Linked DNA regions of Notamacropus eugenii. The protein of the gene in region 2 binds, or shares a complex with, the protein of the main gene of each other region. Links are inferred from orthologs where the notes say so. Each region holds a gene or a part of one and is shown on either strand. Other genes may lie near its edges. The genes, in order: BMP7, NOG and BMP2.

Region 1 (3,748 bases), on a different chromosome or scaffold from region 2:
AAGCAAACAAAATCCTTCTGTCCTAGGGAGTCCAGTTAAAGGGGTGCAAAGAAGGCAAACGAAAGGGCAGGTATAACTTTATAGTAGAGAGAACTCCCCTCATAGAAGCTTGACCAGAAAGGTATGTTAAATGACCTCAACTAGACTGGGGGAGAGGGGAAGAAGGGGGTAAGAGAGAGAGACAAAAAGAGACAGAGAAAAAGAGATAGAGACGGGGGGGGGGGGGGGGGGGGGAAGAGGGGAGAGAGAGAGGAGAGAGAGAGAGAGAGAGAGAGAGAGAGAGAGAGAGAGAGAGAGAGAGAGAGAGAGAGAGAGAGAGAGAGAGAGAGAGAGAGAGAGAGAGAAAGTCATTAGGAAAGCAGGTTAACAGAAGCTTGGCCCTTTAAATCTGGCTAAGGCAGCTTCCCCCAATCCACTGGGATCTGTCCATTTGCAGTTGCCTTAGCTGGGAGCATTCACATGACTCAAAGCCTGATGCTTTGAACTGTGCCGAATCTCACTAGCTCTTTGCCTCTCCCGGTTTTACATCTTCCCCCAAGAGGTACAACAGCCAGGAAAGAGAGAAAGACTTCAGAAGACATTCCCTGTGAGGACACACACACACTCACACACACACTCACTCACACACACACTCACATACACACACTCACACGCTGGGTTTCCCTACCTGGGAACGTTCCCAGTCCACGTTCGCCTTAGACCCGGCAAAGAAAAACATCCGCTTTCTGTTTTGGGAAGGAGGAGGAATTCAGGTGGGAAGAAAGGTGTCTGGTGAGAGGGTGTGGGGAACAGGGGGAACTCAAGACAGTTAAAGGGATATGAGTCCTCATTACAGCAAAGAGAAATTGAGCTACTTCAAAGCGATCTCGGGAAGAAATTCTGCTTTCCTCCGATCTGATAGAATAAAATTATGAGCCTTTTCTATAGCCAGTCCTTGCTATTTCCCTCAAAAACCCAAATCCCCTTTTCAGTTCACCCTAGTGACTCCACAAAGGAGAGTGGAGATCTCCTTTGCTCGTTAAACAGCCTCCTCCCCATCATCTTCCCATAGAGGTACCTTGGAGCACCCATACCCTCTGTCCCACCTTGTGTGGGAAAAGTAAATTCCATTGACCCCACTCACCCAGATTGACGAAGCTCATGACCATATCTGCATCAGTTAGAAAGTTACTGTCCTGCAAACTGGCCAGCGGAGGACCCTGGGTGCTGAAGATGGGCTTGTAAGGGTAAGAGAACCCCTGGCCCTCTTCTCCGCCGACCTCCTCCTCCACTGACATGGCATTGTAGAGATCCAGCATGAACATGGGGGCTGAGTTCTGTTTGCCATGGAGGTGGGGCCTGGGCCGGTGGGGCAAACCCAGGATGGAGAGGATTTCTCGTTGCATCTCTCGGCGCTCTTGGCTGCGGAGCCTCCTGTGGATGAAGCTGGAGTGCACCTCATTATCCAGGGTGAAGTCGGCCAGGATGGAGCGCAGCAGTAGAAAAAGTGGAGACCAAAGGACCAGGAAGCTGGGGGGTCCCGGCTTGAGCCACACCACATGCATCTCTCTTGCTTCACAGGGCTCTCCAGGAAGGGGAGAAAGAGAGCAACTGGGCTAGCCTGGGGATCCAAATAAATACTTGACCATTAAATACAGCTAAAGTTTGGAGGGAAGAGGGAAGAGAGGCTGCTTCAGAGCCCTGGTCACTTGCTACACAACTTCCCCAGAGAGCCACTGCAAAGCATTTCTCATGGCTAACTTGTTCAATATTGCTTTTGTTTCCCCTCAGATTGTAAAATCCACATAGAGAAGACAGGCGACAGATGAATCTCCCCAGCGGACTGAGTTTGGCTTTCAATTCTTGGGGGGGGGGGGGGGGGGGTCCTCAGCTCTGCTCTCCTCTCTTCACTTCTCACACACACCAAGTCTCAAAGTGGTGTTTGAATGTTGCTTTGCAGACAGAGGCAGCGGGAGTTGTATCTTGTGGGAGGAGCAGCCAGTAAAACTCAGAGCTCTCTCTCTCTCTCTCTCTCTCTCCTCTCTCCTCTCTCTCTCTCTCTCTCTCTCTCTCTCTCTCTCTCTCTCTCTCTCTCTCTCTCTCTCTCTCTCTCTCTCTCTCACACACACACACACACACACACACACACTCACACACACTCACACACACGCGCTCACTCGCACAGAGAGACAGACTCCAAATTGCTTAGAGAAGAAAACCATATTATGACCCAGAGCTCACCGGCTTTCTTTTCAAGATGTTTTGGAGGCTCCGGGCTCAAAGCAGGGTGGGCTCTTCACAAGCAGTTAAATTAACCTAAGTGGTTTAGAAGCTGGTTTCAGAGTGCGCCTGCAGCCTTCCAGAACTCAATAACAATAGTTGGAAAGAAAGGAAAAGGGACAGAAATATGACTGTGCCCCCACCACCCTCCCACCTGAGCCTACTATCTATCTCCGTCTTACCACCCTCCCCCCTCAAACTGCTGTCCATAGAAGGAGCTCCCATTCACCTCCCACTGCCACTAGCACCACTACCACCACCACCAACACCACCACCACACACACTTTCCACTCCCGCCCAAGGGAAGAAACATTCTGGGCAGGAAAGCTGCCAGCAACGACACCCTTCTGCCCCACCCACCCACCAGCTGCTGCCATTAGTGCCAGGGGAGGATCCCAGGGAAGCACTTCAAGAAGGATAGCTGCCTTTTGTTTTTTATTTTTTTTGTGTGGGTTTTTTTGGTTATAGTCTGCCCTGACCTACATAGATAGTTAGCCCAAGGTCAGGAGAGCTAGAGGATAAAGGACCTAACAAAGCAAATTAATTACCACCTCTCCTTCCTGCAAGGGATTGGGAGCTTCAAAGGTTCAACAGGTGGTCTGGGAGTTGAGGTGATCTCCCTTTGTGGTTCTTCTCTGTGTCCCCCCCCCCCCCCACTTCAGGAGCAGGGAGAACCCAGATGACACTCTTCTTTCTAGTTAGTACTCTAGCCATGGGCTGTTATCCCAAAGAAATAGATGCGCACATGGGAAGCAGAAGACAGGGAAGAGCAGGTTGAAGCTGACATTTCTCTGGTCTTTCCTTTCCCGGGTAGGGTGGCTCCACCCTGAGCCTCTCTTTGGGAAGGCCAAATATGACTACTACGACTGATCTCCAGCTGAAGCAGGGGCCTGGACAAGAGGAATAATCCATTACAAGATTTACTGAATGCCTACAGTGTACTCAGTGTATATACTGGCCACTGGTAGCCATAAGGAAGAGAATATATTAGGTCCCTGCAAAAGGAATCTAGCTGGGGAGGATAAAACACCAATACAGATAGCTAAATACACAATATTACTTAAGTGCTTGAAGATGCAGAACAAAAAGCTAAGTAAAGTCTAAGGGAAGGAAGGTCATTACCAACTGAAGGCAATTAATTGGTATTTAAACAAAACTTTAAAGGTGAGGTAGGTAGGCACCTACCTCTACTACCTTTTATGTACTCACACAGTACTTTTTCTGAGTGGCCTAAAATGCTAAATAAAGAGAAAAATATTATCCCCAAAGTAACAGGACCTCCCCTACTTGTATAGACCTTTGTGCTTTTCAAAGTACTTTCACGTGTATTAATTATGTCACATGACTCTCACAATAATCCAGTGAGGTAGGAAGGGTAGGTATTATTGGTCCCACGGAACAGAAAAGAGCTGAGAGGTTAAGTAACTTGCTCAGAGTGACAGAACAAGGATGAAACCCCAGCCTCCAAAAAGTGTACTTTTCACTAGAA
Region 2 (3,004 bases):
GGCGGGAGGGGTGTTGGGATCTGGGTGGGCGCTCAAATCTCCCTCCTCCCCTCTTCCCCCTCCCATTCAGAGGGGGTCAAGTTTCAGCTGCACTCCGCCCCCAGGGTAGGTGTGAAAGACACGTGTCCCCATTGTGAACAGCCTGTCAGGCAGGACAAAGCGGCTGTCTCCCCCCACTCCCCGCCCCCCGTCCCACAGCCCAGCTTAGGGTCAGCTCCGGGAGGCCGGCTGGGTGTCGAGGTCAAGACGAGATGGAGTTTTAGTAACAGGGAGAGGAAAAAAAAAAGTTGGAGTTCGGAAGGAGCCATGTGATTCCAAAAAGAGGTGATTTGACATCACCGTGCACCCCCTCCTCACTTCACCGCATTGCCTGTCCCCCCTAACCCCGCCAGCGGCCGCTGAGAAACTCATTAGGAGGTGATAACCTCTTCTTCACCCCCAATGGAGGAGAGTCCTGGGAGCTGGAGAGGCTCCTTCTCTCCATTCAAGGAAAACCCACGTGAGGACCCCCACCCTACCCCACTACCCTCCTCCCCCAAGGTCCGCCTGCCCACCGGCCACCCCCCCCCCCCCCAGCCAGGAAAGAGGGTCAACAAATAGACTGGCAGTGCCCAGGCGCAGAGTCGGTTTTAGTGGTTGACTTTAATTCTGCTCTGCACTTCTCTCTCTCTTTTACTACACGGGATGATATTATAAAGAATAAATAGCAGGTGCTCTTAATTTACAATGATTAGTCATTCCATTTGTTCTCTCTATTTACAATAGCTGTAAAATAACATTGAACTCTATAGCTTCTGCGAGATCCAAGGAAAACAAAAACAAAAAACAAACAAACAAAAACACTTTCCGAAGAATGGAAAATAGCTTCTTCTTTTTAAAAGTCCTTCTACAAAAAAAATTTTTTTCCCCCTCTCATCTTTGTACTTAAAAAAAAAATAACTTTTTCTGCTTCGCCAGGCGAAGTGCTCTGGATATAAATAGCAGGGTAACATTAGCAACAACCAGAATAACAGTCTCTCTCTCTCTGCTTTTTTTTTTCCTTTTGTCTTTTTTTAAAAATACAGTAGAAGCCGGTAACTTTGAACGTATAATACTGACCTTTTAATAAGTAAATTAAAACTGAGACCGTATATACACACACATACATTCCTACACAGTTAACAGTGCATTACATGAACCAGAAAGCTATGTCTCTGTAGCCAAAAAAAAAAGTTCATTGAATCCGATCTGGGAGGGTGGCAGAATAGGGGTGAGGAGGGCGGCGAGGGGGTGGATCGAGAGTTGGGGTCTGGGCAAGAGGGACCCCGAGTTCTAGCAAGAGCACTTGCATTCCGAAATGATGGGGTACTGGATGGGGATCCAGCCGCAACGCTGCCCCCCTCGCCGCTGGCACCGCCACCGCAGCACAGTGAGGTGCACCGACTTGGCCGGCTTGCAGACCATGCCCTCCGGCACGGAGCAAGAGCGCTTGCTGAAGCAGCTGCCCACTTTCACGTAGCGGGGCCAGAAGCGGCTGCCCAGGTCGTTCCACGCGTAGAGTACTGGGCAGAAGGTCTGCGACCAGAGCCACATCTGCAACTTCCTGCGTAGCTTCTTGCTGAGCCGGTGTTTCTTGCCCGGGGGCAAGCCCTCCGAGAACTCCAGCCCTTTGATCTCGCTCGGCATGGCCCCCGACGGCCGCTGCCGCAGCAGCTGGTCCAACTCCGCCAGGTCCTCGCCGCCCCCGGCGGCCCCCCCACCCCCGCCTGGCCGGTCCTCTGGAGGCGCGGTGGCCATGAAACCCGGGTCGTAGTGACCCCCCAGCAGGGAGCGGAGCAGCGTCTCGTTTAGATCCTTCTCCTTGGGGTCAAAGATAGGGTCCGGATGCTCGATAAGGTCCACCAGGGGCAGGTTGTCGCTGGGGGCCGGGCGGATGTGGAGGTAGTGTTGGCAGCCCGCCGGCCCCGCCCGGAGCCCCAGTACCACCACCACGGCGTACAGGGTGACCCCCAGGCTGGGGCACCGCTCCATGCCTCCGGCGCGGGGCTGGGGCTGCAGCGATCTCCCTGGGTCCCCCGCCCCACCCTCCCCACCCCCCGGACGAAAATCACGCCAAGCCCCCTCAGGCGGTCTTCCCTCTCGGGAGCAGCTCACCAAAACCAAGGGGAGCGGAGGACCGACAGCATGGGAGAAAATCCTGGTCCCTCTGCCCTCCTTTCTCCCACCGAGGGTGGTGATAGGGGTGGGTGAACTTTCTTCTAACTCGTCCTCTCTTTTTTAGCTGGGGAAGGGGCGCATCCAAAGTGACTCCAAGGACAGCGGTCGTGGCTGGGGTGTCCCTGGCTCGTCTCTTCTTTCTCCGGACTGCAGAAGGCGCGGGGCGCGGGGACTCGCCTGTCTCGCTCGGTAGCGGTGGCGTGGCTTTTCCCTCTCCTCCTTCGTTTCCTGCTCACAGTGCTGCCTTGCTTCTCGGCAGGGGCGCTTCAGGGTGAGTGTACTCCTGTGTAGGGGTCCCGGGGGCGCTCCCCCCAGCCTGGTGTTCGGGGCTCTGTAGGGCAGTCTCCAGGAGCAGCAGCAGCGGCGGCGGTGGCGGGAGTAGCGGCAGCGGCAGCAAGGACAGGAGCAGCAGCGGCGGCAGCTGCGGCGGCGGCAGCAGCAGCAGCGATAACGGCGGTGGCAAAGGCAGCAGCTGGACCAGGAGCAGGAGCCGGAGCAGGAGCTGGAGCAGCAGCAGGAGCGAGAGCGAGAGCAGGAGCTAGAGCAGCAGCAGCGGCGGCGGCGGCGGCGGCGGCGGCGGCGGCGGCTCCTCGCACGTTGGCACCGGTTTGTCTGTCTCGAAGGGTCCAAGCCTTTAAATTTCCTGCACTTTCAGCTCCATCACCATGGAAACCACTGACTCTCTCTCTCTCTCCCTCTCTCTCTCGTTTCCCCCTCCCCTTTCTTCCCCCCAAACAACCCCACCCCCCCACTTCTCCACCCCCGAGGAGCCGAATGAGCTTGGATGCAGACTCCGGGCAGCGGCAGC
Region 3 (3,748 bases), on a different chromosome or scaffold from region 2:
AACGCAGGCCTCCTGATTCCTATGACCAGTGCCCTTTCTACCAGAGTATGCTATTTCCCTTCCTGATCACATGCCATGCCTTTTCTTCTTGGGCCTCACCTTTACCTCTAGTCTTCTACTACCTCCCAGTATCCTCTTCTTGGATTATCATTTCTATCTTCTCCTCAGTGGTAATGTGGACTCTGCCCCTAGGTCTTTCAGCTCTAAGAGGTGAACATTTGCTGTATCTTGCCAGGGACCCAGAATTCCATGCCAGTTCCTGGTCAGGTCCATGCCCTATAGACCATACTCCCTTCCCTTTGCAAGTTTCCTCTAAATGCTATTTTACCCTCAATAGAATGTAAACTTCTTTGGGACACAGGGTGTCCCAAAAATCTTAGCGTATTTTTAAGCTTTATTAAAGCCTAATAAAAGCAGCTAGGTGGTACAGTGAACATAGGGTTGGACCTGGCATCAGGAAGACTTATCTTCCTGAGTTCAAATCTGGCCTCAGACATCTACTAGCAGTGTGACCTTGGCCAAGTATCTTAACACCATTTGCCTCAGTTTCCTCATCTGTCAAATGAGTTAGAGTTTTGCAAACCACTCTAGTATCTCTACCCTCCCTCCCCCCCCAAAAAATCAAAACAACAACAACCCAAATAGGGTCATGAAGAATTAGAAATGACTGAAAAATGACTGAACAAAACAGGAAAAGTCAAGTAAAGCTTAAAACTGCATTAAGACTTTTGGGACACCTTGTATTTTAATCCCTGTGCCTAGCATAGCTTTTGCTATATAGTAAGTATTTATAAATACTTAAAATTATTACAACTAACAATGAGACACTTTACCTAATGACATATCAGAAACACAAAAGCCCCAAGTTATGCCACCTACTTTGAACTTTTTCCTCAGCAAGAACCTCATGTATCATTCCTAAATTGTTAATTAGCTGGGTGTGAATTAAAGAGGTTTCCTTGAACTCTGTTGCACAACATCACTTAATCCCAAAGTTCCTCTTACCTTAGTGCACAGGATGGCTACCTGGGGAATGGAAAGTCTTCTTTAAAATATTTAAGTTACTACTACAGAGTTAGGCATCAGAGAGACTGGGGCCTATTCATCTTTTAAAATACTTTGATTTGGTTTGCCAGGGGATATCTGATTGTCAATTATGTTTGAAGGAAGTGGGTGTGACCAAGGAGAGTAATATTTCTTCCTCTGAGGACAGTAAAAACCATTGGTACACATGCTTCCTTTTAATTTGCAGTGACGAGAGAGCCGGTGATTCAGAATATGCACATTGCAAGAGCAACATTCATGCCGGTTTCTTTTGTAAGTCACAAAGTAATATTTCTTCCCTGTGGCTGAGGATCGGGGCTTGATCTGTGTTTTTTGGAAGAGTTGAAACACGTGAAGATCATACTGAGGCCTTGTCAAACTGACAATGTTCCTTTGCTGAGTGAGTACATCCCCCCTTCCCATCATTTCCAAGGCAAGTAAGTAAGAAGGTTGGAAGTTATGGTAGTATTCCATTATGGATTAGATAAACTGACAAAAACAGTCTTGTCATGAATTGAAATGTTTTGTTTTGTACATTTTGGTAATATCTTGAAAGCAGAAAGTGAGAGTAAAACTGTTAGCTCTGTGTTAATTTGTTAATGTTGTTATTAGATTTGAAAGACGTTTGGGTATTTGATTGGGAAGTAAGGCCACTTATTAGCAAACTTGAGGGAAAAGAACCTAAGTGACAAGGTAGAAATAAGGTAATACAGGAACTGAAGATATTTGCCTGATTAAAAACAGTTGCTGAGCTCTACTAGAAAGGTACACATTGTTATCTTTTCTTTTTTATGGACCATAAAAAGCAGTGGTAGATGAAAACACGTTTGTGAGAACTAGGAGAAATTTATCTAATGATATGTTATTGGTTTTGTATGTGTGTATCTGTATACTTATTGAGATAACCTGTTTCCACATGTGGACAAAATATACAGTATGATCAGTTAAAAATAAAAACAAACAAATAAAAGCTAACTCGTTTTCTACATTGTGTTGGCTTCGTGATAGCAAACGGTTAATTTGATTGAAACTTTAATGTTACTTTAACAAAAATTAACCAATTTTCTGAGTATTTACATCTGTTTAGAGACTATTTCTTCAAACAATTCTGAATCAGAGATGGTTTTATCCATATGTAGTGCGTGCACCCATTTTCCTGGTATGGTGTCAAAGGCTACCTACTTTCTATTCTGGAATCAGAGGACTTAGGTTTAAATTTTACCTCTTTGTGTCTTTGTGACCTTAGGCAAAACTGAGTGTGTGTATAAAATGAGGAAGCTGGATTATCTGCCCTCTGAAATCCTTTCCAGAATTATATTTAGGATTCTACGACCCTAGAAGTAGAGTTTGATGAGAGAGGGAAGAAAAGAACATAGGAATATTGGAAACCTGAGAATGGGGGGGGGGGGGGGGAGGGAGAGAAGGGCATAAAAGAAGCTGAAAGAAGCCAAAGAAAACCCTTTCCTATTTTACATTTGGCTGGACAAGGTTTAGCCTGGTATTTAGTCTAGTATTTAAAATATCCATCGTACCTGATAACCGTATTTGATTAACAGTTGAAATTATTTTTGATAGATCTTTTAACACTGATTATGGATTTCTCTCATCTTGATCCTCCTGTAGAACACAGGCAAATTATTTTTTCCAGGAAATTTGCAAGGGATCTCACCAAAAGTTGGGGAGATGGAAGGCACAGGGGGATGGGGGAAGGGAATGAATAATTTTTGTTGATACCTTCCAGGGTAAGTGTGAGTTTGCTAAGCAAAACAATGGTGGAGCTCTAGCACAAATATTAGTTAAGCCATTTCCTAATCAAAGAACAACTCATGAAAGAAGGGAATTTTTTTTTTTTTCTTGCGTGAGAAATTTGTTATTCTAGGACAAAGGCATTCTTTGGCAAATATTTTTAGGAAGCCAGAACATTTGAACTTATTACTTTCGATAGGTCTCTTTTCAGTATGTATCCCTGTGGTCTGAGCTTAGCTGTAAAGGCTCTTCCTGGGATTTGAGACTCCTGTGATTCTAAAAATTGAGTTTATGAGTCATTGAAATGTTCCGTATCTCCACTTATTCTGTATTTTGTTGCCAGACTCAGGAGAAAATAGTTAAAACAGAATAACAGTCACCTGATGTAGGGAATCCTAGTTTCATAGGTCATTATCTAGCATACTTCTCATATAGCACAAGAATTCTCTTTTCAGCATCCATGATAGATGACTATCCAACCTCTCCTTAAATACCTCCAGTCATGTGGAGATTATAAAACAGCCTGCTATCTATTGCTACTGATACTATGTAGTAATACATGTTAGAATATTTTTATACTATGCCAAAATCTATCTCTCTGTACTTTATTAGTCCTAGTGCCATCCTCTGGATTTACACAGTTTAAATGCTGCAACTCTTCTACATCTGTGCATGCCTTTATTCAACAAATATTAAGTTGTTACTATGTGTAACATAGTTTTCCATACTCTGAAGCACTGGTAAAGTAAACCATATTTTAAAGAAAAATTTTTAGGTGAAGGAGAAAAGAAGATAGGTCAATGGTAAGAGTGACACATGATCATTAGATAGCCATAGGGCTCCACTGATAGGCTTGTGATGTCAAGGGAAAACAAAGAAGGCCCTCCATACCATTAGATAGACTTCTTGTAGTAAACTTACAAGAAGAAGCGGACAAAGGTCATATAAGAGAGTTGTC

The links.
Region 1: the proteins of NOG (region 2) and BMP7 are in contact, whole or in part, in a crystal structure (PDB 1M4U), measured with the Homo sapiens proteins. The link is inferred for Notamacropus eugenii from reciprocal best matches to the Homo sapiens genes NOG and BMP7. Residues at the interface, in NP_005441.1 of Homo sapiens: His29, Tyr30, Leu31, His32, Ile33, Arg34, Pro35, Ala36; in NP_001710.1 of Homo sapiens: Phe365, Pro366, Leu367, Asn368, Ser369, Asn375, Ile378, Val379.
Region 3: the proteins of NOG (region 2) and BMP2 are in contact, whole or in part, in a crystal structure (PDB 7AG0), measured with the Homo sapiens proteins. The link is inferred for Notamacropus eugenii from reciprocal best matches to the Homo sapiens genes NOG and BMP2. Residues at the interface, in NP_005441.1 of Homo sapiens: Ile33, Arg34, Pro35, Ala36, Pro37, Ser38, Asp39, Asn40, Pro42, Leu43, Val44, Asp45, Leu46, Ile47, His49, His199, Arg204, Arg206, Pro219, Ile220, Gln221, Tyr222, Pro223; in NP_001191.1 of Homo sapiens: Trp310, Asp312, Trp313, Val315, Ala316, Pro317, Pro318, Gly319, Tyr320, Ala368, Ile369, Ser370, Met371, Leu372, Tyr373, Lys379, Val380, Val381, Leu382, Lys383, Asn384, Tyr385, Gln386, Met388.

Annotation. Positions count from the first base shown.
Region 1 is NC_092872.1:508,737,110-508,740,857, reverse strand, and holds the start of BMP7 (bone morphogenetic protein 7), read right to left. Parts: upstream 2,301-3,748; 5' UTR 2,221-2,300; intron 1,767-2,220; exon of another isoform or gene 1,601-1,766; 5' UTR 1,545-1,600; coding exon 1,124-1,544; intron 1-1,123. UniProt on the Homo sapiens protein: Growth factor of the TGF-beta superfamily that plays important role in various biological processes, including embryogenesis, hematopoiesis, neurogenesis and skeletal morphogenesis.
Region 2 is NC_092873.1:368,509,955-368,512,958, reverse strand, and holds NOG (noggin), read right to left. Parts: upstream 2,065-3,004; 5' UTR 2,011-2,064; coding exon 1,312-2,010; 3' UTR 624-1,311; downstream 1-623. UniProt on the Homo sapiens protein: Inhibitor of bone morphogenetic proteins (BMP) signaling which is required for growth and patterning of the neural tube and somite. Essential for cartilage morphogenesis and joint formation.
Region 3 is NC_092872.1:578,460,135-578,463,882, forward strand, and holds the start of BMP2 (bone morphogenetic protein 2), read left to right. Parts: upstream 1-1,316; 5' UTR 1,317-1,444; intron 1,445-3,748. UniProt on the Homo sapiens protein: Growth factor of the TGF-beta superfamily that plays essential roles in many developmental processes, including cardiogenesis, neurogenesis, and osteogenesis. Induces cartilage and bone formation.